4 linked regions of the Drosophila melanogaster genome follow. The protein of the gene in region 4 interacts with the protein of the main gene of each other region in a pairwise test. Each region holds a gene or a part of one and is shown on either strand. Other genes may lie near its edges.

The links.
Region 1: the proteins of ATPCL (region 4) and stum interact in a two-hybrid assay, tested with the Drosophila melanogaster proteins (one large-scale study listed by BioGRID).
Region 2: the proteins of ATPCL (region 4) and l(1)G0020 interact in a two-hybrid assay, tested with the Drosophila melanogaster proteins (one large-scale study listed by BioGRID).
Region 3: the proteins of ATPCL (region 4) and CG14253 interact in a two-hybrid assay, tested with the Drosophila melanogaster proteins (one large-scale study listed by BioGRID).

The regions. Positions count from the first base shown.
Region 1 is NT_033778.4:21,673,236-21,677,935, reverse strand, and holds the start of stum (stumble), read right to left. Parts: upstream 3,036-4,700; 5' UTR 2,634-3,035; intron 1,863-2,633; exon of another isoform or gene 1,607-1,862; 5' UTR 1,422-1,606; coding exon 610-1,421; intron 548-609; coding exon 80-547; intron 12-79; coding exon 1-11.
Region 2 is NC_004354.4:8,716,178-8,722,174, reverse strand, and holds l(1)G0020 (lethal (1) G0020), read left to right. Parts: upstream 1-1,897; 5' UTR 1,898-2,009; coding exon 2,010-2,212; intron 2,213-2,271; coding exon 2,272-2,719; intron 2,720-2,779; coding exon 2,780-4,058; intron 4,059-4,118; coding exon 4,119-5,088; coding exon of another isoform or gene 5,089-5,092; intron 5,093-5,109; exon of another isoform or gene 5,110-5,228; coding exon 5,229-5,355; 3' UTR 5,356-5,462; downstream 5,463-5,997. Other genes in the region: CG1789 (uncharacterized protein), read right to left, coding at 732-941, 1,066-1,569; CG1785 (uncharacterized protein), read right to left, coding at 5,465-5,861, 5,924-5,997. UniProt on the Drosophila melanogaster protein: RNA cytidine acetyltransferase with specificity toward both 18S rRNA and tRNAs. Catalyzes the formation of N(4)-acetylcytidine (ac4C) in 18S rRNA. Required for early nucleolar cleavages of precursor rRNA at sites A0, A1 and A2 during 18S rRNA synthesis.
Region 3 is NT_033777.3:26,976,976-26,984,544, reverse strand, and holds the start of CG14253 (uncharacterized protein), read right to left. Parts: upstream 6,005-7,569; 5' UTR 5,883-6,004; coding exon of another isoform or gene 5,823-5,882; 5' UTR 5,768-5,822; coding exon 5,677-5,767; intron 4,028-5,676; exon of another isoform or gene 3,444-4,027; intron 3,032-3,443; exon of another isoform or gene 2,858-3,031; coding exon of another isoform or gene 2,794-2,857; intron 583-2,793; coding exon 328-582; intron 270-327; coding exon 111-269; intron 51-110; coding exon 1-50. Other genes in the region: CG46313 (uncharacterized protein), read right to left, coding at 5,823-5,882.
Region 4 is NT_033778.4:15,998,251-16,003,214, reverse strand, and holds the start of ATPCL (ATP citrate lyase), read left to right. Parts: upstream 1-1,924; 5' UTR 1,925-2,027; exon of another isoform or gene 2,028-2,034; intron 2,035-2,927; exon of another isoform or gene 2,928-3,120; intron 3,121-3,244; 5' UTR 3,245-3,251; coding exon 3,252-3,410; intron 3,411-4,962; coding exon 4,963-4,964. Other genes in the region: Tmem131 (transmembrane protein 131), read right to left, coding at 1-663, 717-1,283.

The sequences.
Region 1 (4,700 bases), 5.7 Mb from region 4:
GTTGCTCCACTCTAGAGGGGACAGAAAAACTTGAATATATGTATTATCTTTATGGATATTTTCCACAGGATAACCTTACCTATAATCTCCGCCCATAGGTATTGAATCCCTGATGATAACTGGGGACATTTCCCGCTTTAAGCTATGTTCAGGCTCCACACTGCGGCTGTCATCCTGCTCCGTCAAGTCAGTTCTACGGAAAGGGGGCGGGTCTGCCGGTGGAGGTGGCATTCTATAGTCCTCCAGCGACTGCCTCTGGCTACCTCTCTCCAGACCCAACTGTTCCTCCAGATATTGCTTCGGTGAGAGTACAACGTCCCTGCTAACGGGCCTGCTTTGGTTGGGTGCCACTCGCTCCTCTCCGCCGCTGCTCGAGCTGTTCATGTCCTGGATCATGGTGGCCAGTGGGGAGAGAGGTCCTTCATCCTGCTTCATCGACATAATCATTTTGGAGCTGGGCCGCAATCGTGGGATGCGTGTGAACTCTGGAAAGTGCTGTGGCGCCGGACGGAACCAATCCCTTCCCGAATAGGAGTCACTGAGTAATCTAAGAGGAGGTAATCACGAAGGATTAGTTTGGATAATATATTGGTGTATTCAAATACCAACCCCCTGTGGTCCTCCGTCGTGATGCTGGACACACTCAACTTGGCGGGCGCTTGGCTAGGAGTCCTCGTCGGCTCATCTTCCTCATCATCGAAAGACATTCTCTGACCGACTACGGTGTACTCCTCGACCTCGTTCTCCAAATCATAAACGTCCGGCTTGTTCAGAATGTCATCGGGGGCCAGGAGCCGATAGTTAGGTGAGCCCAGTTGCTCTGAACTGGAGCCACCGCTCGAGTTGGGCAGAATCTGGATGTCGGGTGGCTGGAGATAAGGCAGTAGGGATCCTCGGGGAGTCCTCGAGTACGGGACACTCGGAAAGATGCGTTCCCTGGCCGCAGGAATAAGTGCGTTCAGCGCCATGGCGGCCACCAGCGCATCCTCCTCGGAGCTGGGCAGTTCCACAGACCCATTTCGCAACGTCTCAAATGCTGCTGTTCCGAAGTAATCATCCGGCTGCAGAGGCGGTGGAACCGGATCCCCAAAGAGGCTACTATACGGCTGGGCATCCGACTCCGAGGGCTGGCGCACAAAGCTCTGATTGGAGGCGAACGTGGAGGGTGCCATCGATTGGGCGGAGAGAATGGAGCGGGTGGTATGGGTGCGATAGCTATAATCAACCGGGATGATGGCCGGCTGGAACGCGGACTCGCCTCCAGTGGATCTGGGTCGTGGTATTGGGTTCGTACTTGGACGTATGTTCAGATTCGGTGTCAGATTCGGGTTCGGTGGCGGCGTCTGTGCGGCTGAGGCTGATGGCATGGGCATCGGGGATGGGGATGGCGATGATGATGAGTACGAGAGGGTCTGCTGCATGGCTTGACATGGGTGCTAACCGATCTTCGGCCCTCATGCATTCACTATGATTTCCTATCCATTGTTGCAGCGTTTTTGCGAAATTCAGTCGTGGTTGCAGTAGTTGGAAGCCGATTTCCACGCAGGACACTCCGCGTTCGTCCTTCGCTTTAGTTTAAGTGCCACAAAACCAATGACGCCAGGAGCTGTTTATTCGAAGCAACAGAATGTATTTAAAAATCACTCACAACACCCATGTGCGCACATCTTTTGATTCCACAGACAGACGACCAGCGAGACCTTCCGGCCCTCTTGCAATGTCAGAGAGACGTACACGCGACGCCTTCACCGGCGGAGAACGGATAACGGAACGAGGAGCACGGAGCACGGAGTAGGCAGTCCCAAAAACCGGAGAGCGAAACTGAAGGGCTGCCGGTTTCATTGCCAATTCGCAGTGATGGAAAAGGGTATTGAGTATGTTTACCTGGGCGAATTTTTAAAAATAATAATAAAAGTAATTTCTGTCTTCATACCAAGTAACTTTTTTCAAATATCCTAAATTTTTAATAGCTTGAGTAAAGTAATTTAAATTCATCAGCAATTAAAAAAAAGTAATTAGGTACAACTGCCCGGATACGTCCGCTTCCATCACTGGTTGTGGCAAAAATAGTAGAGTAATTATTACTGCACGGCTTTATTTTCTAATGCCATTTCACTCCACATTCAACTATAAATAGCTGCGTGCGAGGCGCTGATAAAGCCGCCCCGAAACCAAACCGATTTGAAATCGGAATCGTTATGGTATGCCATGCACCTGCTGCTATATGCGAATCCGAGTCGGACTCCCAACTCCCAAACGCTTGTCTTGGCGCTAACGAGAGCATAACTTGATGAGGAGGCCTCAAAGGCTTGAATGGGGGGAATGGGGATGGGGATTTGCTTTTGGGCGGATGGCTTCGGCTTGGCTGGCTGCACCGGCGTTGCATGTTGCAAATTGCCGCATTAGTGACTGCACTTGAAGTCGAACGACCCGGCAGATGTGGAAGCCAGCGGGCTGAGACTATCCTATCACCAGAAGAAGGCGATGGTTTAATTGGAGCTGTGCGGCTGGGTACGCAGATATTTTAGCGAAATGACGTAGCCCATGAAGGTTTTGGGGGGGAAGGTGGAGGAAAGGTGTGAATGAATGGCCTTTGTTCGCATTGATTTTCCTCTGCCTAATATTTAACCTACATTTTATGGCCCGCCGCTCGAATTTCGGTGACACACTTTGGGCCAAAAGGAAGTGACTTGGCCGGCTCCTTTTCGTTCCTTTCGTTTTGTTTTGGCCATGACGCGTTTTGGGGGAGTTGGCCGGCTCCCAGGCGGCTTAAGCTTCCTATTTGCGAATTGGTTTTTTAATCGCTTGCCGCATTACACGCAGTTTTCTTGCATCTCATTAACGCTCGGTCACACTTGAATAACGAATTTTAATACCTGCCACGTCCACACTGACTGTGTTAGTTTGGTCCTGGAGCGCATTATATAATTTACATTTGGGTTTTAAGTTTAGTCTAATTCGGAAATAGAATGTATTTGCTGAAAAGCCGCAACAAATAATGGAAACGCGACGAAACGTGGCCGCTGCCTAACTTAAACTGATGGCCGACCAGCGGTAAGTGAGCAAAATGGAGGCCTTCAAGAGAAATATTGCCTACACTTCAAATCCAAAACAGCACACAATGCCCCCCCCCCCCACACACACACACACTCGGTGCCCCAACAGTTTGCACACGCAGACCCGCTGAGATATCGAGACTGGCGAACTGAAAAGCCGAAAAGAAAAGGCGACCGGGGGCGCCAATTCGCCGCGACTTTTCCGCGAGTTTTCCGCATTTCGCCGCCTAGCGAGGCGGCTGCATTAGCCGTTTGCATGTCGTTGTGTTCATCTGTGCGGCGTGTGCTTCTTTCTCAGCTCTTTCTGCCTCTTAGACAACTTTTGATTGCTTCCCCCAGTTTCCCCCGGCTGGCTGTGACACCTGTTGGTATGTCTGTGGCACGCGATGTTCCAACACTTTTGTACTTCTACGCCGCACTGCCTGCCACCGAGAAGCTCAGTCAGCTAATTTTTCATACTTTTCGGGATGCCTCATAACTTTAATGCCACTTGTATCTATTGAATGCACGCATGTATTTCAATGAACACTTTCGCTCATTTCACTTTAATGCAGTTTTATGGAGTTGGAGATTGCACATAAGAGCTCTGATTGAACGTAATGATAGGTATTAATAAAAACTTTCCTTTACTGTGTTCAAAAAAATCAGTTTAAAATACGCCTATTGATTTAGTATTGAAAGTAAATATATCCTTATTTTAAGTGTTTGAATATTTTATCCGCTAGAATGTCAAAAAATAGTTATGCGTCGCCCAAAAATTAGGATCACTTAATCACTGTGTGAAAGGTGTCTCTGCCCATAAATATTGCAAAAGGCTTCGGCAGAAGGACGCTTTTCCTGCACTCGACTGAGTGAGTATAAGACCCTCGGCGAGTACACTGCACTTTCCTTGGCTTTGGAATAGGGTCAAAACCGCAACAAATTCCGCGTTGCCTTGTGCAGCGGCTAGGAGTCAACAACACTTGGCCCGCAGCTACGAACTCCTTGGCCAGCCGGGCACTGTTGCAACATCAAGACAACAACGGCAGTGGCAGCAATAACGCCTAAAGACAGGTATGTGTGCAAACACAGACCACCCAAACCAAAGCCACGAATCCCTCGGAACGGGGGGACTTTTAAGTGGCAGTGCCGGAGAAATCCTTGGCTAATGTCGTGTTAGCCCCCAAAAACCCGCCCCTTGTGGGGTCCAACTCGAACCCCCAGTGGAGTCACACGGAGTCACAAGTCGGGGAATTCCTAGAGACATCTACGAGTTAATTGTTTTGGGCTTTTTCACTACACAACCGAGTTGGAAGTTTTTAATGTTTGCGATATATCCGACGATTTCTATCCGATTTTAGGCAGTTTGGTTTTAATTTTTAATGCACCGTTACTTGTAGAGTTATTGTCATAAAAAAAAAGGTGAGAGATTTTCAAATAAAAAACTGAATACCCAAAAAATTCAACGCGCATTTGCATCGATCCGATGCACTGCACTCGCCGTTCGTAGAAAAACTAATCCGCCGTGGGCAAATACCTTCTTATACATCGTCCTGCGCCGTGGAGCTCCACGGCAACTGACCAGTCGGGTTTAGGTGAAGAAACCACCGAAGAAAGCCGAAGTCCACGTTTGGCCAGCCACACGGGTATACGTGGGTCAGTAAA
Region 2 (5,997 bases), on a different chromosome or scaffold from region 4:
GACTCATCAAAATGGTGTCATATGTTTTTAATCGGGGAAAACAAGGACCAGCAGGCAAACAAAAAAGAAAAAAAAAAAAGAGATACGGGGAGTGTTTGCCCGGTTGTCTGTCGCCTGCGGTTTTCAATTCGAAAAGTTGCAGCCGGTTGCTTATTTTTACAAAAGACAAACATAAAAAAGTTACATTGAATATTGAAAACTTATGTTGCATACACTAACTTGCAAGAGCACATATAAAATATTAGTCTTGAAATGTTCCTCGGAGATAAGAAGAATGAATTTAAAAAATAAGCTGACTTTTTAAATAAAACATTACAAATGTTTAAATTCAGTTTGAAGTTGGGGTCATGACTTGGCTAAGCGTACCTAACTTAACGAAACTCGCACTAAATTTGGTTTGTGCCCTGGAAAGATCTAAATTTCGTTAAATATTTAACGAATCTGAAAAAAGCGTTTAGTCGAGTTACATACCCATTCGCTTTTACTTTTTCTTGTTTTTTTTCGGTATATATTATTCTATTCGGTATATATAAATATTCTGATCAGAACATTCGAATTAATGACCCAAAACTAGGATGCCATATCTCATTTAACTTGTTACTTGCATTTGAATTGCATTCAAAATTGGGAATTATATATGTAATTCCTTAATCCAAAACAATAAAAATCATAGTTTTGTCAAAAGTCTTCAACTAACACTTAATTGCTTTATTAACTAGAGGGGAAATATTCTATTTCTTGCGTTCGTAGCGGAATTTGTAGACGGGCGCACTGTCCTTGGTTCCCGGCTTTATTTTCCTCGGCTTCAGTAGGCGTGGCTGCTTGAGGGTGTTCTTCAGCTGAATCTTCTGCTGGACGATGCCGAGTTCCCTTTCACGCTGCTCGCGTTTCTTCAGCTCGTTGATGCGCTGCTGTTTGATGGGGTTTGGTTCAGTTGTTTTCTACAAAAAATTTAAAGGCAATCGTTACACACAAGTAGAATCATAAATCATAAGTATAATATCAATTATAAATTAGTTTCTCACAAAAGCTTACAACCTCGTTGGTTTTAAAGAGGTGACCTACCGATTTCTTCTTCTTTTCCTCCTCTTCCTCCTCGTCATCATGCTTTAAAAGCCATTCGCCCATGTCCAACTCCATGTATCCGTCTTCGTCAAATTTGATACGTTTGTTGGCTGCTCCCTTAATGGCATCCACGTCCACCAGCGAGGCCTTCAAGCGTTCGATCTTCTTGCGCTCCATGGTGCGCTTCATCACCACGTACTTGAGGTCCTGCGTCTGCATGAGGGCCAATTGCTCGGGCGTGTGCTCGTCCTTCGTGTCCTTCTCGTGGTGCTCATCGTTGGACAGCTTGGAGTTGATCATATGGTGGTAGAACTCATCGGGATTCTTGTTCTGCGCCCGGCGGTACAATAGCTTCAAGGTCTTTTGCTTTTTCTGTGCGTCGATGGCTCGCTTCTTGTAGTCCTTTTTCTTCTCCAGGAATCCCAGATGCTGGCGCGACTCCGGCTGGTGGCGCTCCCTGTGCACCTTCTGGTTGCTTTTCGACGCATTCTTCCACGATGACATCTTCAATTTATGCTAATCCTCGACAGCAATCAAATATGTTCTGTTTTGATAAACGTGCGCTTGGGGAATTAGAGATGCACAACTACTCGATAAATGTATCGCATTGACTCAAAACATCGAATGTGGTGTTAATCGGGAATTTTTAAAAAAATCTCATTGGTAGAAATTCAAGCTGCCTTCTTGAAGACATCAATACAAATCCCACCCGAATTCTACGATTTAAGACTTCGTGTAAACAACATTCATGTGCATTTCACAATGGTAATATGATTGACGATTTCCGTGACATTGTAAAGTAGATAGTTGAGTCGCGACTATCGACAAAGCGCCCATCTCTAAACCGCACACGTGCATTTTGAACGGGCAACAATTTCATTTGCATTATTTACTTCGGAAAACCGGAGTTTTTAAGTGAAAAGTGAACGCAGGAAAGCCGAAGCATGGTGAAGAAGAAAATAGACAACCGGATACGCGTGATGATCGAGAATGGGGTCAAGCTGGGCCACCGAACCATGTTCATCGTCATCGGGGACAAGGCGCGCGACCAGGTTCCCATTCTTTACGACATCCTGACCAAGTCGACGGTCAAGGCGCGACCCACGGTCCTGTGGTGCTACAAGAACAAGGATGAGGCCATCTCCAAGTGAGTATCCAACTGTAGAACTATTACACAGAAACTCAGCTAACTAGATACATTTTTAGTCATGGCAAAAAGCGAGCAAAGAAGATTGCTGTGGGCAAAGTGGATGTCAATGAGGCGGACCTGTTCGATTCCTTTCGAGTGGCCACCACCATTCACGGCAGATACTACTCCGAGACGCACGCAGTCCTCGGACGAACCTACGGCGTGTGTGTGCTCCAGGACTTCGAGGCCCTGACCCCCAATCTTTTGGCTCGAACTGTGGAAACGGTTGAGGGCGGCGGTCTGATCATCCTGCTGCTGAAGACACTGCAGTCGCTGAAACAGTTGTACACCATGAGCATGGATGTGCACAAGCGATTCCGCACAGAAGCCCATCAGACGGTGACCTGTCGATTCAATGAGCGACTCATTCTCTCCCTGGCGGACTGCAAGCGCTGTCTGGTGGTCAACGATGACCTCACCGTGCTGCCACTTAGCTCCAAGACCATCAACGTGGAGCCAGTGAATGTAAGCTGATGCTTGTAAATCTTCTAAAGCAGCTAATACCATTTGTTTCTAAACTTTCAGCCCGCAGGCGCCGGTCGATCGCCCAACGAGGCTAGCCTCAAGGAGCTGAAGGAGAGCCTGCTCACAGTTCAACCAGCAGGAGCTCTGGTTAATCTCTGCAAGACCTACGATCAGGCCAATGCCGTTGCCCAGTTCATTGAGGCGCTGGTCGACAAGCAACTGAAGCCGCCCATGTCCTTAACAGCGGCTCGTGGTCGTGGTAAATCGGCCGCCCTGGGTCTGTCGATTGCCGCCGCCGTCGCCTTTGGCTATGTGAACATCTACGTTACCTCACCGCATCCGGAGAACTTAATCACGCTCTTTGAATTTGTGCTCAAGGGCTTCGATGCCTTGGAGTACCAGGAGCATGCTGACTACACCATTATACGCTCCACCAATGCCGACTACAAAAAGGCGATAATAAGAATAAATATTACGAGAAGCAGCAGGCAGACCATTCAGTACATAGCTCCCAGCGATACTCATCTGCTGAACGCAGCCGATCTTCTGCTGATCGATGAGGCGGCTGCCATTCCTTTGCCGCTGGTAAAGAAGATGATCGGTCCGTATTTGGTATTCATGGCCAGTACGATAAATGGATACGAGGGCACTGGCAGATCGCTGAGCTTGAAGCTCATTTCCCAGCTGCAAAAGGATAACAATGCAAGGCCGCCACTGAAACTGGAGGAATCGATTCGGTATCAGGAGAACGACGACATAGAAAAGTGGCTGATCAACCTGCTGTGCTTGGATGCCAGTACGGTGCCGAGTATTAGCTCGGGCTGTCCCACGCCGGATGCTTGTGAACTGTACTATGTGGACAGGGACGCCCTGTTTTCGTATCACAAGGCTGCCGAGGCCTTTCTCCATCGCCTGGTCTCCATTTATGTGTCCTCGCACTACAAGAACACACCAAACGATTTGCAGATGATGAGCGATGCCCCGGCGCATCATCTATTCTGTCTACTGGGTCCGGTTCAGCGAATGGACGCCCTGCCAGAGATATTGGTGGTTATCCAAGTGGCACTGGAGGGTCAGATCTCCGCCCAGAGCATCAGCGATTCCCTGGGCAGGGGCAAGAAGGCGGCGGGCGATCTGATTCCCTGGAACGTAGCCGAGCAGTATGGCGATCGAGATTTTCCCAAGCTGTGTGGCGTTCGCATTGTGAGGGTAGCCACGCATCCGAATTACCAGAGGATGGGCTATGGCAAGCGGGCCATTCAGCTGCTCAAGGACTACTATGCAAGGAAGCACACTAATCTGGAGGACGGTCCAGTTGCCAGCAAGGATGCTGGTAAAGGTGAGTGCACGCACGCCAATGGTTTATTATGCACTACATAATACTTTAAATTTTGCATAGGTATCGAGGAAGTGGAGGAGGAGGAACTTAGTCTGCTGAAGGAACAAATCCGGCCACGTAGTCGTATACCCACACTTCTGCAGCGCTTGCACGAACGTGTCCCGGAACACGTGGACTATATTGGCACATCCTATGGCCTCACCACCGAGCTGCTGAAGTTCTGGAAGAACGCCGGCTTTGTGCCCGTCTATTTGAGCCAGAAATCTAACGAACTGACCGCCGAGCATAGCTGCATTATGCTGCACACGCCCAATGCCACGCCCTGGCTGGGCCTGTACTACCAGGACTTCCGCAGGAGAGTCCTCAAGTTGATGGGAAAGACGTTCAGGGAATTCGAGACGAAACTCTGTTTGGCCTTGCTGAAGAACAAGTCCGTGGACACGGAAGGTAGTGCACTGAAAGTACTCGATAAGCCAATGCTGGATGTTTACTTCTTGCCGCACGATCTGCAGCGCTTGGAGAGCTACGCCCGCCAGCAGTCCGAGTTTCGTCTAATCATCGATCTGCTCACGGACATTGCCCAGCTGTATTTTCAGGGCAGGATCGATGGTCTGCAGCTTGACCTGGTGCAGCAGGGCATCCTTTTGGCTCTGGGCGTGCAGGGCAAGACTGTGGATGCGTTGGGTCTGGAGCTGAATATGCCGGGTAACCAGTTGTTGGCGAAATTTTTCGATGCCATGAAACGGTGCAATCAGTGCTTCCGGTCGGTACTGGAGGAGCATATCGAAGGCGGCATGCTGCGGGAGGCGGATCTGTCCAAGGGCGAGGAACTGCAACCGCTGACTCTGTCCCTCGACAAGGAGCTGGATCAAACCGCTCAGAAGCTGAGCAAGCAGCAGCGCAAGGAGCTGAAGCGCCTGAAGGCCGAGCAGCTGGACGAATTCCAAATCAAGGGCACCGAAGAGGATTGGTCCAAGGCGCTGGAAACAAACGGAACAGGCGGTGGCAGCGGGCTGCTCTCCGTCAAGAGGTAGGTGCGCCTATTTTTTTTAATAATGTGCTTAATACATAACCACGTTTATTTATTTGTCTCCAGTTTCGTTTTATTATAAACATCACTCAGTTAAAAAAAATATAACTTATTTCGTATTTGCCTCTCTTTCGTTTCAGTGGCGTAAAGCGACTGGATGGACCAATCGAGACGCGTGAGGATGGCGACCTGGCAGCTCCGCTGTCCAAGAAGAAAAAGAAGAACAATCCGAAACAGAGACGCAGTCAGGGCAAGTCCCTGATCTAGAGTTCATAATTTTTTTCGTTTGGGGGGAAAAAGAATGTGGATTTTAATTCTATAGAAAAGTACATATTGTTGTAAGCTCCGTTAAAAATAAAGAGACCTAATAACTGAACTATATCTTGATATTGGCAGTAGCCTTGGCTGCAGCGGCGGCCGCCCTGCGCCGTTCCTTGAGGTCATTATAGCTAACGCCCGGCTCCTTGTGGGAGTTGCGCTCGAAGCGCTTGACCTTGGACTTCTTGCGGCTGACGAGCTTTGTCGTGGGCAACATATTGTTGCGTTGCAGCGTGTGGAAGCGGTCCTTCAGCAGACTGCTCTCAGTCTTCACGTTGCGCAGATTTCCGGCGATATCCTCGGGCAGATTTACGTCTAGGTCTGGCTCCTCGAACTTGTGACGCCCCAGGCGTTTCGGCTCAAACTTGGCCTTCTCGGCGCGCTGCTTGCGGCGCTTCTTTAGATCATTCAGGTCCTCCTCCTCATCGTCTAGCTCGTGGCGAATCGATTTGATGCTGAATGAAGAAACACAATAGAGATTAGAGATGGACCACAACGCCATCAGTTAGAAACTTACCGTATCAGGTCAGCCGTCTGTTGCTTGAGCTTCCTCTTGAGCTCTGTTTGACGCGCCAGCTCCTTTTGCTTGAG
Region 3 (7,569 bases), on a different chromosome or scaffold from region 4:
CTGAGCTCCTGGTCCTCTTTCCCAGACAGTGGCCATAACATCGATGGACACTGTGATAAAAGAATATATATTATTAACAAATTAAATAAAATTTGCTGCTTTACTCTTACTTGTGCTCAAAAAGTGGCGATCCGCCTCAGCATTGAAAGTGATCTTCGGTGGAGGAGTCGTCGTGGTAGAAATAACCTCCACTTTATTTTCAGCAATGAGACGCTCCAATTTCGGTCGATTCTCGATAGATTCGTAGATATGCGGTAACTTAAAGATTTCTATTAAGAAGTGTTTAATTTGATTATAAAGTACAAGTACATTCTTAGGCTATCTTACGGCTCTCGCTCTTCAGCGATTCAGGTGTGACATCCTGCACGGAGTACTGCCTTCCATAGGCATACTGGGTGGCTTTGATGAAATCCCGATGAAGGATCTCCTTGCTGGACTCATCCATTTTATCAACGCTGCGCTCCCGGAAGATAAGTTTGGCACTGACTATTCCCTCGTACAGATCACCCGATATCATGATCAGCGTTATGTTCCATAGTATGGAGAATACTGCTATCATGACCATGAGACATATTACTATATCTGAATAAAAAACAAAAAAAAGTTTATAATAACATTAGTAATTTAAAAATTTAAAATTTTTAAATACATGGACAGCTGGACAAAAATTCAAAGTCTGAATTTTCTTTGGTTCCATTTTATTCTCTTATTGAATTTAGATTTTGCATTTTGAATATGGCACACAGACGTAAAAATTAGACAATGAAATCATACTTTTAACCTCTAGCACGCTTTAGCATTGCAAACATGTTGTTCTATCAAACGGACCGCTGACAAATTTGAATTTGAAATTAATGGATCGCAAATAGACATGGCTGCATTTGGAAAATCAACTATTTATGGCTCCGCCAGGAGCCGTGGATCAAGTATACGCACTGTTGCGAACAATGGATTTCGGAATTATGAGAATGGAAAACACCAGTGATTGAAGGTTAGACATTCGATAATTTATGGCTTTCTAGTTATGTTCGGCCTGACTTTGTTTGTTTTGTGTAAGAATCCGCTAACTGTGAACTGGTCTTCGTATATTAACGCTTTTGTGTGAGTTTCTATCGGCGGTATGATATCATGGCAAATGTTGTAGAGCTCGGTTAACGAGTCGGTACGAAACATTTTCAGATGACGTCGATACCGTGACTGCCTCCCAATAAAATTCATTTCAATTGATGCAAATATTCCCGCATATTGTTCGAAATAAAGAGAAAACAATTCGCTGGCAGAGTCAACAAACAGATTCGTGGATAAATATACGACTATGCTCGGTGTGCATAATAAAAGTCCCATGGCGGAACCTGTCAAAAAAGGGGAAAATGTTATGTTACCATTCCATTTTATGGTTCATAATGGACAGCTGTATTTTACAAGTTCGCCCATCTATATAGAGAATAGATCATGAGCTGCTGCCGCAGATTTCATGCCCCAAGTGCTTTGAACGCATTAAGCGGAATGTTTTTCTGCTTTTCGGCCGGCCACCGACTCATTTATACACATATAGATACGAAGCGATTTACTGCGCGTTGCACGATCCGTCGCAAAGTGGCACCAACGGAATGACATCATTTCCATCATGAATTCGCTCTCATCTCCGGAACATGGGTAAATAATATTCAGCGGTAGTCGAGAAGTCGACAGTCGTTAGCTCAATCGTTTTTGGCCAGGTTTCGTTACTGTATTTGGCCCAAAAGAGGCGAAGCCTCACAGAGAAAACTATAAATAAATATTACAAATAGCTTTGGGATGTAATCTCCACCAGCATTAGTCAACTCAACATAGTTAATTTTTTGAAATTCCATTTCAAAAATCCTATTGGAATTTGGAATTTCAAGCAGCTAGCAATTTTCCTATCACTCTTGACTAAATGTTTGTTTACAAACGACGGCACCCGGAAGTTTGGCACTTTAGCCAATTTGTTAATGCCATTAACAGGAACCACATGGCGAATACGTACTATGAACTTCGCCCACTCAAATAAACTTTCCCCCACTTATCGATAGATGAGAGCTGCATCAAATGAACTATACACATTTATAGGAAGAAGATCGGCAGACCCAGCAAGACAAGTGTGAAATTGTTTATATTCAAACACAACAAAGTTTATATTAGCGTATGGACCCAAAAAGCTGTTGGCCAATTTAGCACCTTTAATGAGTTGATTGATGCTATAAAAACTGTATAAAGTTGGCAAATTTAGCTAGCAGTTGAAAATGCTGGCAGGCCTTGTGTTTTAACTGAGACTAACGTTACAACAGCTATAATCTATGTCCGATGAATTGAAAAAACATAATGAATTTATATACAAGTTGAAGAGCAGGATTCCCACTGTGAATTCACGTATATCGAATTATTTATTGGGTCGGTCTCTGCCCATTCGAAATATTCAAAACACTCGAATACATATACTCAATCGGTTTATTGATGCTGAAAGACGCGCCCCCAAAAAGCAGCCTCCATGACTGATGGACAAAATCGTGAAATGGCTTTAATTGACTTGAACATTTGCTGTCAATAGCAGCAGACAGTTCACCTCAAATTTAACCAATTGGCTTTTCGCAGTACGACATTCGAATTTCTAAATGTTTCTATGGATCTTGCTTTTTATTTTGGGTTTCACCTTCTTCCGCCCTCCGAAGGCCGACCCCAAAAATGTATTTTAGGAACCAAGGGCTGCCCTCAGTATTATTCTACAAACAGTAAGCATATTAAAATTGTTAAAATATTTTATATATGACGTACGATTTATATGGGCAATATCGCTGGTGGTTAGCTTTCCTTGTTTGTATTTTTTTATCAGCTCCATTTTGGCATGTTAGTTTTGATTGCGGGTTTTTTTTTTTTTAATTTTTCACATCCGAAACATATTTTCAACACATTTATTTGGTATTTATCCACAAAACTTCTAATAATAGTTTTTAATTTACATCTGCTTTCCAAAGGCGATTTTTATGGGTCTTGCTGGAAATAAATTACGTGACTGATGGATTTCAAAAATAGGGCATAAACATTTCTTATTAAGACAATGTTAAACAATTTGTCAAAATCTTGCATTACTTTCTGAATGCTATTAAGGGTTGGTCACAAATAAGAAATATTTTGAACATTGTTCATTTGCCTCCTTATCGGGCAATAGTCTTTATCGTTTGCAATTTGAATTTTCTTAGTTTATGTGATTTCTACGAATCAAGAGGGAATGATTTATTTTGCAAAAATGGGGATTTACAAAACAGCGCACGGAAATTTATAAGAAATATAATTAAGAATTGCGATCATAGATTAAGCTTCCACTTTTCAGCAAACTTAATGTAGCGCGTAGCCTTTTTGATTTTCGCCTCGATTCTGTTCACTTGACCGATTGAAATAATTGAGATTAATTGATTTGAAATTACCGAAAGTGTGCGGGTGTATTTGTTTGTCTGTTTGTACATATGAAAGGTATCCAGGCGAATTTAGCAATTGTATTTCGAACACTTTGGCTATCAATTTACATTTGGCGCGACCAGCAGTTGTTCGGGATTTCAATTTCCATTTCTATTTTCCTGTCACATTACGTATACGTAACGAACCGAAATTAACACCTTTTCGTTCTCGAACATACATACAAACATACATACATATGTGTTTTCCAGTGGCTTAAAGTCGTTCGGAATGGGTGTTTTTGGTTTGGGAAAAGTGACATCCGTCTAAGCTCATGAGTCAAGGTCAAGTTTTGGGTTGGTTTGTGGTGGGAAATGGGAAGGGGATGTAGGCGCCTTATACTCGATTTGACATTTATGTGGGTTATTTACACTGCTTCGATATCACTGATTTGCATAAAAAGCGATGGCACTGTTAATTGCCAAACACGAAATTAATCCACGCGACGTTCGGGCACGCATCCAAAAGATATAAAACCGCACCGAATCGGTTCCAAATTCTGCGTTCTATTCGCTCGCAATCCGTCTGACTTTCGTGACTGTTGTTCAGACACTGAGGCGACTATATGCCAGTCCATAATTCTCCAGCCGATTTCGTCTTTCTCTCGCTCTCATTCGCTCCACAGAGAGCGATATCTACAGCTCAAGTTCACTATGTGTTTGTTGCTTTTAAGGCGGCTCTCCGGAGCGAGCTTCTTCAGTTTTGTTTTGATTTCGAAAATCTGCAACTGGTTGTTTGGCTTTGTTTTGATTTGGTTCTTTCGTGTTGTTGACTGTTTTCTTGTTTTTTTGTTTTCTTGTTTTGTTCATAACCAACGGCGTGCGTGGGATGGGAATTCATTGTTTTATTTTTACATTCTAATTGGTGCGAATGTGGGTTTTGAGAATAACTTTGAAACGTAGTTTAAATTACGAAACAATTTGGCGTACATACCCATATCTCATTTCCATTTAATATATTTGCAGATTTATTTTATTCATAACTAATGAAAATGAGTCACACTGTTTTATTTCTGTGTACTCCTTGCTAACTACGCTTATGAATTTATACTCCCTAAAAAGTCTCCAGCTATTTGCCAAATTCATTATTCCCTTCATGTTTATTTATACAGTTTTATAAATAAACAAAAGCACAATTCGATTTGCATCTTCCATTATTGAGCTGCCTCAATCAGAAGCGCACATTAATCCGATATTCATAGAAACACAAATATCCTGTTCTGTTTGCAAGACCATTGTTTCGGCTTTTGGGCAGTTGCCATGGCCGCAATTATCGCCGATGACCTTGAAAGAACACGCCGCTTTTTCACGTCCAAGGTGAACTTAATTAGCGGCCAAAAGGCCTTCGAAGGACTCGTCGATGTGAGTGCTCCAAATCGCGTGCCTGGCAGGCATCTAGTTTTTTTCTGCTTCCTTATGCTAAACGCGAAACTTCATCTAACAATAACGCTCGTCACTCGGGAGCCGTTTAAGTTTTGAGGGTCTTATCGCAAATACTAGTCTCGTCATTTTCATTTTCATTTTTTTTCAAAAAGCTGATTTGAATGATATCACAATTTCTTAATAAACCACATATATTAAATTTCGTAACTCTACAAAGTAACTTGCTCTGTAATCTATAATTTGCGTAAGTCATGCTTATCGCGCTCCAAGCCTATTTGGAAACCAAAAATAACACCTCCTATTAAACTTGGCTAACCTAAACCAAACAATTACCACCCAAGGAACTTATTTATAGACTGAGTTGCGCCCAATAAAAACCATAATAACTATTTCCTCTGGTTAGAATGCCTTTCGCAGGCGATAAACATTTTTAGCCCTGACGATTTCTATTGAATCCACATCAACACATGTCATAATAAGGTCTTCGCCACCGTTAGATAAACAAGCAAATCATTCCTTGCCCCAATGTTGAAACTGGCGATGACGTCGTCCCCTTATGCAAATCCACAGCAGATAATGCGACGTACATGAATAAATTACAGAGTTACAAGGTTTCAGGTGAGTTATGGTGGTGATCAATCATATTCGAAACGAACTTGACTAGTAAAGTTTATTTTATAAAAAAAAATGCTTGCAATTTAAACATCTTACCATCATTTAAAAGTTATTTGAAAATATTTGTACAGTGATTTCAACACTTAAGCTTGGATGATTCAAGCATGTTCTACAGGGCGTATGCGCATTTTTTGATAAAACCACTTACGTTCGTAGCGTACCACTTCGCTTCTGGCTTCCCGGGTTAGCATCTGCAGACTATCACCAATCCGGCGTATCCTCTGCGGCCGGCTACCCATCTCTGATCCGCGGCACTTGGCAGCCGCATCTAATTACATACGTCTTTTTCGTCGTTTACAACAGACAAACAATTAGCAAAATTGCTAAACAAAAACTTAGCACTTGAGTGCGCATTATTGGACTCGATTCGCTCAGTTCGGTAGGACTTGGCACTAGCTTGGTGTGTCTGACCCGATGGAAAAGAAAAGCCACAACTGGAGACGTTCAGACGACACGACCGCTCGACGAGAACTGCGCGCACGCCAAGCGGCTATGGGTCATTAGGGGTATTTGCCGCTGCTCCGGGGAAAATTCAAATGCTATGGCGTCACTGGATAGTGGTGGTTACGCCACTATGCAAACAGCATAGAGCGTTCATAGATCCCTGCGAGTGGTGGGCTATCTTCGGGGGATGTATAACAAAGAAAAAAAGATTATAGAAGTCGAGCAAAAAAATATATAGCGTAATCTGAAACCTAGTATTTCAAAAAAGAAGTCATAAGCGAGCTATTTTCATATTTTATTTGTAATTATGTTCAAATGTTTAAATACTTTACCATTAAATTTTACCACATTTAGCTGAGACCATTGTCTTGGTACCTGGACATTTGCCATCTCTGATCCCTGGCAGCCAGACGACTTGTCTGTCCCTTTCAGGGGGCGGGCGGGTGCGAACCACCCCTGAAAAAGAAACTACCAAAAACAGGAGTCAAGGCAATGACCTCTCCGGGCCGGGCCCATAAGTCTGGGTCACCTGGGAGACGCCAAATGAGTGTCAGTAGAGCGATTGCGTGTCCAGCTAATTACTAGCAAACGTTAACAACATCTGGCAAGCAGGAAAAAGAAATACAAGTTCGCAGCTGGAGCTCAACTCTTTGAAATTCACGTTATTTATTGTACGAAAAATACTCGATTGTTTCTCAAATAAATTAGTAAATTAATATACATATTAAATCGTAGTTGTAAATGTATGTTGTATATAATGCGTTACTTGGTGTTAGTTACAAATTTCACATAGCATTAATTTGCTTTTCAATTTATTGGGTTTTGTTTGTGTTTTTTTTTTTTATACAAAAATGTTTACTCGCTTAAAGTTAATTGTGTTAATTAGACTACATATTTCATAAAACATTTGTGCAACAAAAAGGCATTGCAATTAACTTTCAGTTGCCCGTTTTACATAAATACAAAATTAACATATCTCGGTGTAAATATATATAAATATAAATCTATCAATTTGATCAATTCGTTGAAACAATTCGCAGTGAAATACAAATGAAGAACATCCCTATACTGGTTAATAAATCATCTTGTAACAATTTCATTTTTACACACAAATAAAAGGCGATTGTTTGAACAATTTTAGTTACTCTGTTGTTTTGTTTTCCTTTCTAAGACTCACACTCCTAGTGACGATTGCCATCGACAGTTGATAGGGTTTTGGATAGTAGAGAATGCCTACAACTAGGCTACCTATACCTATACATATAGCTCGATTACATAATACTAGTAGTTGATGTTTTGCTTTGAATGGGCAGAGCAAGTTTCTATGTTCGAATTTTGATTATTCTTGCATTTTGTGCGTGACACTTAAAACGATTTTCGAATTCTTTGAATTTGCGTCTTGTGGCCAAGCGTAAAATGTGACATAAAAGGAAAGAAATATATTTATAATATTGAATAACAGATTGCTTTGGATAAACAGCGCAGTACAGTGATTAAAACTGAGTAAATGCGTAAAAAGCAATTGTTCAGCTAGCTGATAATCAATTTGCACTCGAATGCTTAAAGCTCATTAACTAAATACTCTTAAAATAGATCG
Region 4 (4,964 bases):
TACGTTAAAGAGCATTAGGGGTATTGCGAACTTGTTCCGCACCACCAGCGATCGTTTTCTTTCCAGCGGTTCACCCTCGACGCCTTCTGGCGAGGTGGTCACAAATCTGGTGGCATTTCTGTCGAAGGTGAGCCCTCCATGGAAGATTTCCGCTCGCACCAGCACTGTAAACGGCTGATCCGCACCAGGACTGGTACTGGACTGGTTACTGTTGATCACCAGCAGATCATTAATGATCTCATCGCCTTCGAATAGGCTGGCATCCAACACTATACTTGTGTTGTTTGCGTCAAACGAGAGACCCGGAATCTGGCGAAGGTAACTGCCGAAGAGTTGGCGACTCTCGTCGTTCCGAACGTCCAGCTTGAACTGTAGTGCATCCGGAGCATTTAAAGTGGCCACACGGCCAAAGTCCGCCAGTGGATTGCGGGCGTACACAGAATGTCGTGGCAGAATCTCAAATTCGACAGGAATAAAAATATCCAGTTCCTGCTCTGCGACCTTGATGCGTATGTAGGCGCTGTGATTGCCAGCTGTGCGGCCGTGAAATGATATCCTAATGACCGGCTTTAAAGTGTGTGGAGGAATTTTCCACAGATTTTGTGGGCCCTCCGAGCCACCGCTGGGCAACTCTAACTGAAACTCGCCGCCGCTGCTGTATATCTAAAAGACATGGTTATGGGTAATATACCTACAGAGTGTTGATTAAAACCTACCTCAAGTATCTGCAGCGGCCGCTCGTGCGGGTTGTACATGTGAATCTCTGGCGTGAGTGTCGCATTCATGGGCGCCTTAATGCCCACCAACGGCTTTAGGCGGTACGGGCACTCACTGCCCTCGCCCTGTACCGCCAACTCGGCCTGGCCGAAGGAGGTGTGAATGAGAAGGTCGGCGGCAATGGCGCCTAGTTGGCGCGGTAGGAACACCACGTTGAAAGTTGTATTGCCTTGCGGCGGCACCTCTCTCGTGCCCAGGAAGCTGCTGTAGAACGCCGGACTTGGTCCGGCCACCGCGTTCAGCTGGAGCGTTCGATTGGAGTGTTGATTGAATAGTGTCACCGTCTGAGAACGCGCCTGGCCGACGGACCACGTTCCAAAGTCTAGACGGGACGGCACAAGCCGAAGGTCCCCCAAATCGTGGATTGGTGCCTCCTGCAGCCCCAGGAAAGTCTCCTGCAGGACCTTTTCACCTTTGGCGCCCAAAGTGAAAAGGAAGATTAGGATGAGCAGGATGGGTTCTGCGAATATTCGCAAAAGCGGCCTCATCTGGACTTGTGTGGGCATGGCGTGCGTTCCCTTGATCCTGGGATGCTGTGTGTGTGTGTGTTCGTGTGGGCGGCGATGGCGCAGCTCCTGGTAACCGACTTTCTGTCCAGCTGCTAATCTAAATTGGAGTTTCCTTGGCGTTGCGCTTTATTTATATTATCCAATATCGCTGGCCAAAAATTATTATCGCTTTTCGGTGTGACCGCCGTGGAATACATAAAACATACCATCCGGCACAGGGAAATACTAATCATATGATCATTTTAAAAATATACCATTAAAGCACAGAATCCTTTTTTAAGGCGCATCAGGTGGCTACATAAATTGCTTGATATATGGGCTTATGTTTAGTTGATTTCTTGCTGGTAGTATAATTTAAGCGTTCAATGGCATGCGATTAAATTTAACATTGTATTGTAGCAGATTATTAAAATAATGAAATATTTATATATTATTAAATATATATAAAAAAATATATATTTAATTTGTTTACTATAAATGCTATTAATATTATAGAGCCTAGCGCATACAGTTAATACTGTATATAATATTACATACTGTTGCGCAGTATTTTAAAACGCGCCAAAAAGTATGCTCGAAAAAAATTAATAACAAAATGTATCGCCATGTATTCGAGGGAAAACAGTGAAAGAGCTATCGAAACTTGGCCATCGCTAGCTAAAGAAACGACAACCGAAAGAAAGTTGCAGTTTAGTTTACGTGTTAAAATTAATCGCAGGTCGTGAAGCTGATTTAACTAAAGTGAGTGCTCTCGTCGCCCGTTAATATACCCGCGTATATACACCCACAATTTCATTGAATAGTGACGAGTACAAAGGAAAACATGACCAAATGAAATTTCGCACAGATCGTTCGGCTTGCTCCACGCACTTACACTCACACACACACACACACACACACACACACACACACACTATAATCACATATTCGCTGAATATTGCAGAAATATTAATGCGAAAATCAGCAAGCATTTTGCAATAATTACTGAAGGCGAAGATTAACAGCTATTTGACCCACGAACGGTGATGCAACAGCCCTATTGATTTTGCCCACTTTCACCGCTTACAACATTTTTAGTTTGGGCTTCGGTTTCGGTTTCGCATTTAGTTTTTTTTAGTTTCACCAGCAGGGCAGCCAATTTGCATACGCATCGGCTAGGCGTGAACTTCGTTTCCAGATGTAAATTAGATCGTGTGTACTTGCAAAGTCATCAGCCCCCTTCAATGTGCGCTCTTCATCGAATTAGATTCCATGCCATTTCCGATTTGCTAGCCATTGGCTGTTCATGTATTTTTGGGAGAAAGTTCGGCCCTCAGCCAAAGTGACCCACTGACTTGACTAACTGGGCTTGATATCCAAGCTGCAATGATATGTTGATAACCGGTTCTACAAAAGGTGCTTCCCCACACCCAACGCAATGGTAATGGTCCAGGGCCAGATCCCGTTGCAGACCTAATCTCTGGGAAACAACCATCTGGTTGAGCGAGAGCCATGTACATATCAACACATAAGCCGAAAATTCTAAAGACCCGAAGCCGTTGGAGTCGCGAAGCTTGAAAGCCGAGGCAGCGCCACGAAATCGAAATCAGAATACGCCTGTTGCTGGCTCATTTTCATGGATGGTGCTGTCGCGCATTCGATTTCAGTTTACTTCCAGACCCGACGACGTGCAGGTTGATTAGCTAGCTGCCCAGCCTGTAGCTACCCAAAGCTGAAGCCGCCCAGCACGCACACTTTGAAACTTACTCGAAACCTATTGCACCTGCACACAGTCGTGCTCTAATCAATTCTAAGTAAATAAATCAAAGTTTGAAAGTACAGACAAAGTCAAACGGTACGCGCGAACACACGAGACCCTCCTTTATTTGTATTTGAAAGAAGGCTATATTAAATCTTAATTGATTTGTTTTTATATATTTTTGTATTTTTGTTTTTTTGTTTTTTTGTATATTCTGTAGCTTCATCATGTCGGCGAAAGCAATCACCGAGGCCTCCGGCAAGGACATCCTGAACCGCCATCTCAACACCCATGGCGCCGGCGCGGCCACTTGCCGTTTTTCCACAGTAAATTCCACGACAGATTGGTCCAAGCTCGCCGTTGACCATCCCTGGCTGCTGACCACGGTGAGTGCCAGTTAAAAATAGCCGCGAAACTCGCGGAACTCGACGATTGCGAATCAGCCGATATGTAGGAACAACAATTGGGCCAGCGACAACAAACGCTCGGCGGGATTGTCATTGAACTTGACCTCGTGGTGGACGCTTCGACCACCACGCCGATGCCGAATGACTAAGCGCGGCTCCTGATAAGAGCGAATTGGGCGCCAGTCGGTCGCGCGAGTTGATCGCTGGAAATTGCGGAGTAGACGGACGGACGCGGGCGCAGACCGACAGCTCACCCCATGGCGCACTCTGGTTTTTATCAGATTGCCGGGGACCCAGTCGTAGGTCGCGTGGCATGGCGTGGTCTTGGCCCCTTTGGTTATCCGCCGGCGGATCAGGCTCACCTCATTTGCGAACACGATAAGCGTGCGTGGAGATTGGGATTCACGATCACGCAGCTATCTCTGATTGACCTTCCGATCGATAGTGGAAAGTTTGGCTGTAGCCAAGTACTTATCTTGAGCACTTATAACGGTTGAGTGGGAAATAAGGGGAAGCTAACATGTTCCGTGTTTGTTTTAGAAAACCTTTATCACCGAAATCCATATGTTCGAAATCTTATCATCAAGTTATTTGTTGATTTTGGAGCGTCTCAATTTATTGACCTTACCTAGCATTGTTGCGCCGCCTGAATTTCTAAAGAATAATTTCAATTCAAATATGCCGGAGATTTTAAAGTGGCGAAGTGTCGCTGAGTCGAGTGGGGGATTCAGGGAACTACTCTACTATCTTTCAAACAATTTTCGCAAAATAATATATTCTATTGAAATGTGATCAGTTAAAACTTATCTATAAGTTGTTTGTTGACTCTAGAGGGAGCGTCCCTATACTTAGTCTTAGTAATCTAAAGGCAGGATTGTGAAACTCTGATTATCAGGAAGGTGTTTTAATTTATGACATGCAGATAGAAGGTATTAACTTTCTGATTTAATAGACTTATTGTCTTGTTGTCACGTTTTCGTTTGAAGTGCATAATACTTTTATTACGTTACTGATAATGATGTTTACCCCACTGAAGGGGGAGAAGCAAACAATCAAACACAATACAACTCCCTTTAAATAGTTTCACTTAGAGCTATTAGTTTAATATTTTGATCTCGTAATTTTATATGCAATTAAGATAGATCCGAAATTTAGTGAGCATAATGGGAGTTCTTTCGGCTTTAATTACACGACAAAGTGAATCGCCTGACGGACATCTCGGATGATATTTCGTAGTCGGACTGTTTGCTCAATTTACACTCGTACGATCTTCTAATAAGCATATGAGATGTGTTTTTGTGTGGGCACAAGTACAAGTTCGGGTAAGGGTACGAGCACTGGCATTGTCATTGGCAATGACGCGGGAACGACCCCTGATGTTATCGGCTGATCTTTTCGACAGATGCTGATCGTTGGAACCGGCTTTTTTACTGACGCGCCGAGATCAGAAGGCACAAGTTCAACGATTTGTCGCTTATTTCATTTATATTTAGCATACATTTAATTAGCCCCGTCCTTTCCTTTGTTGCAGCC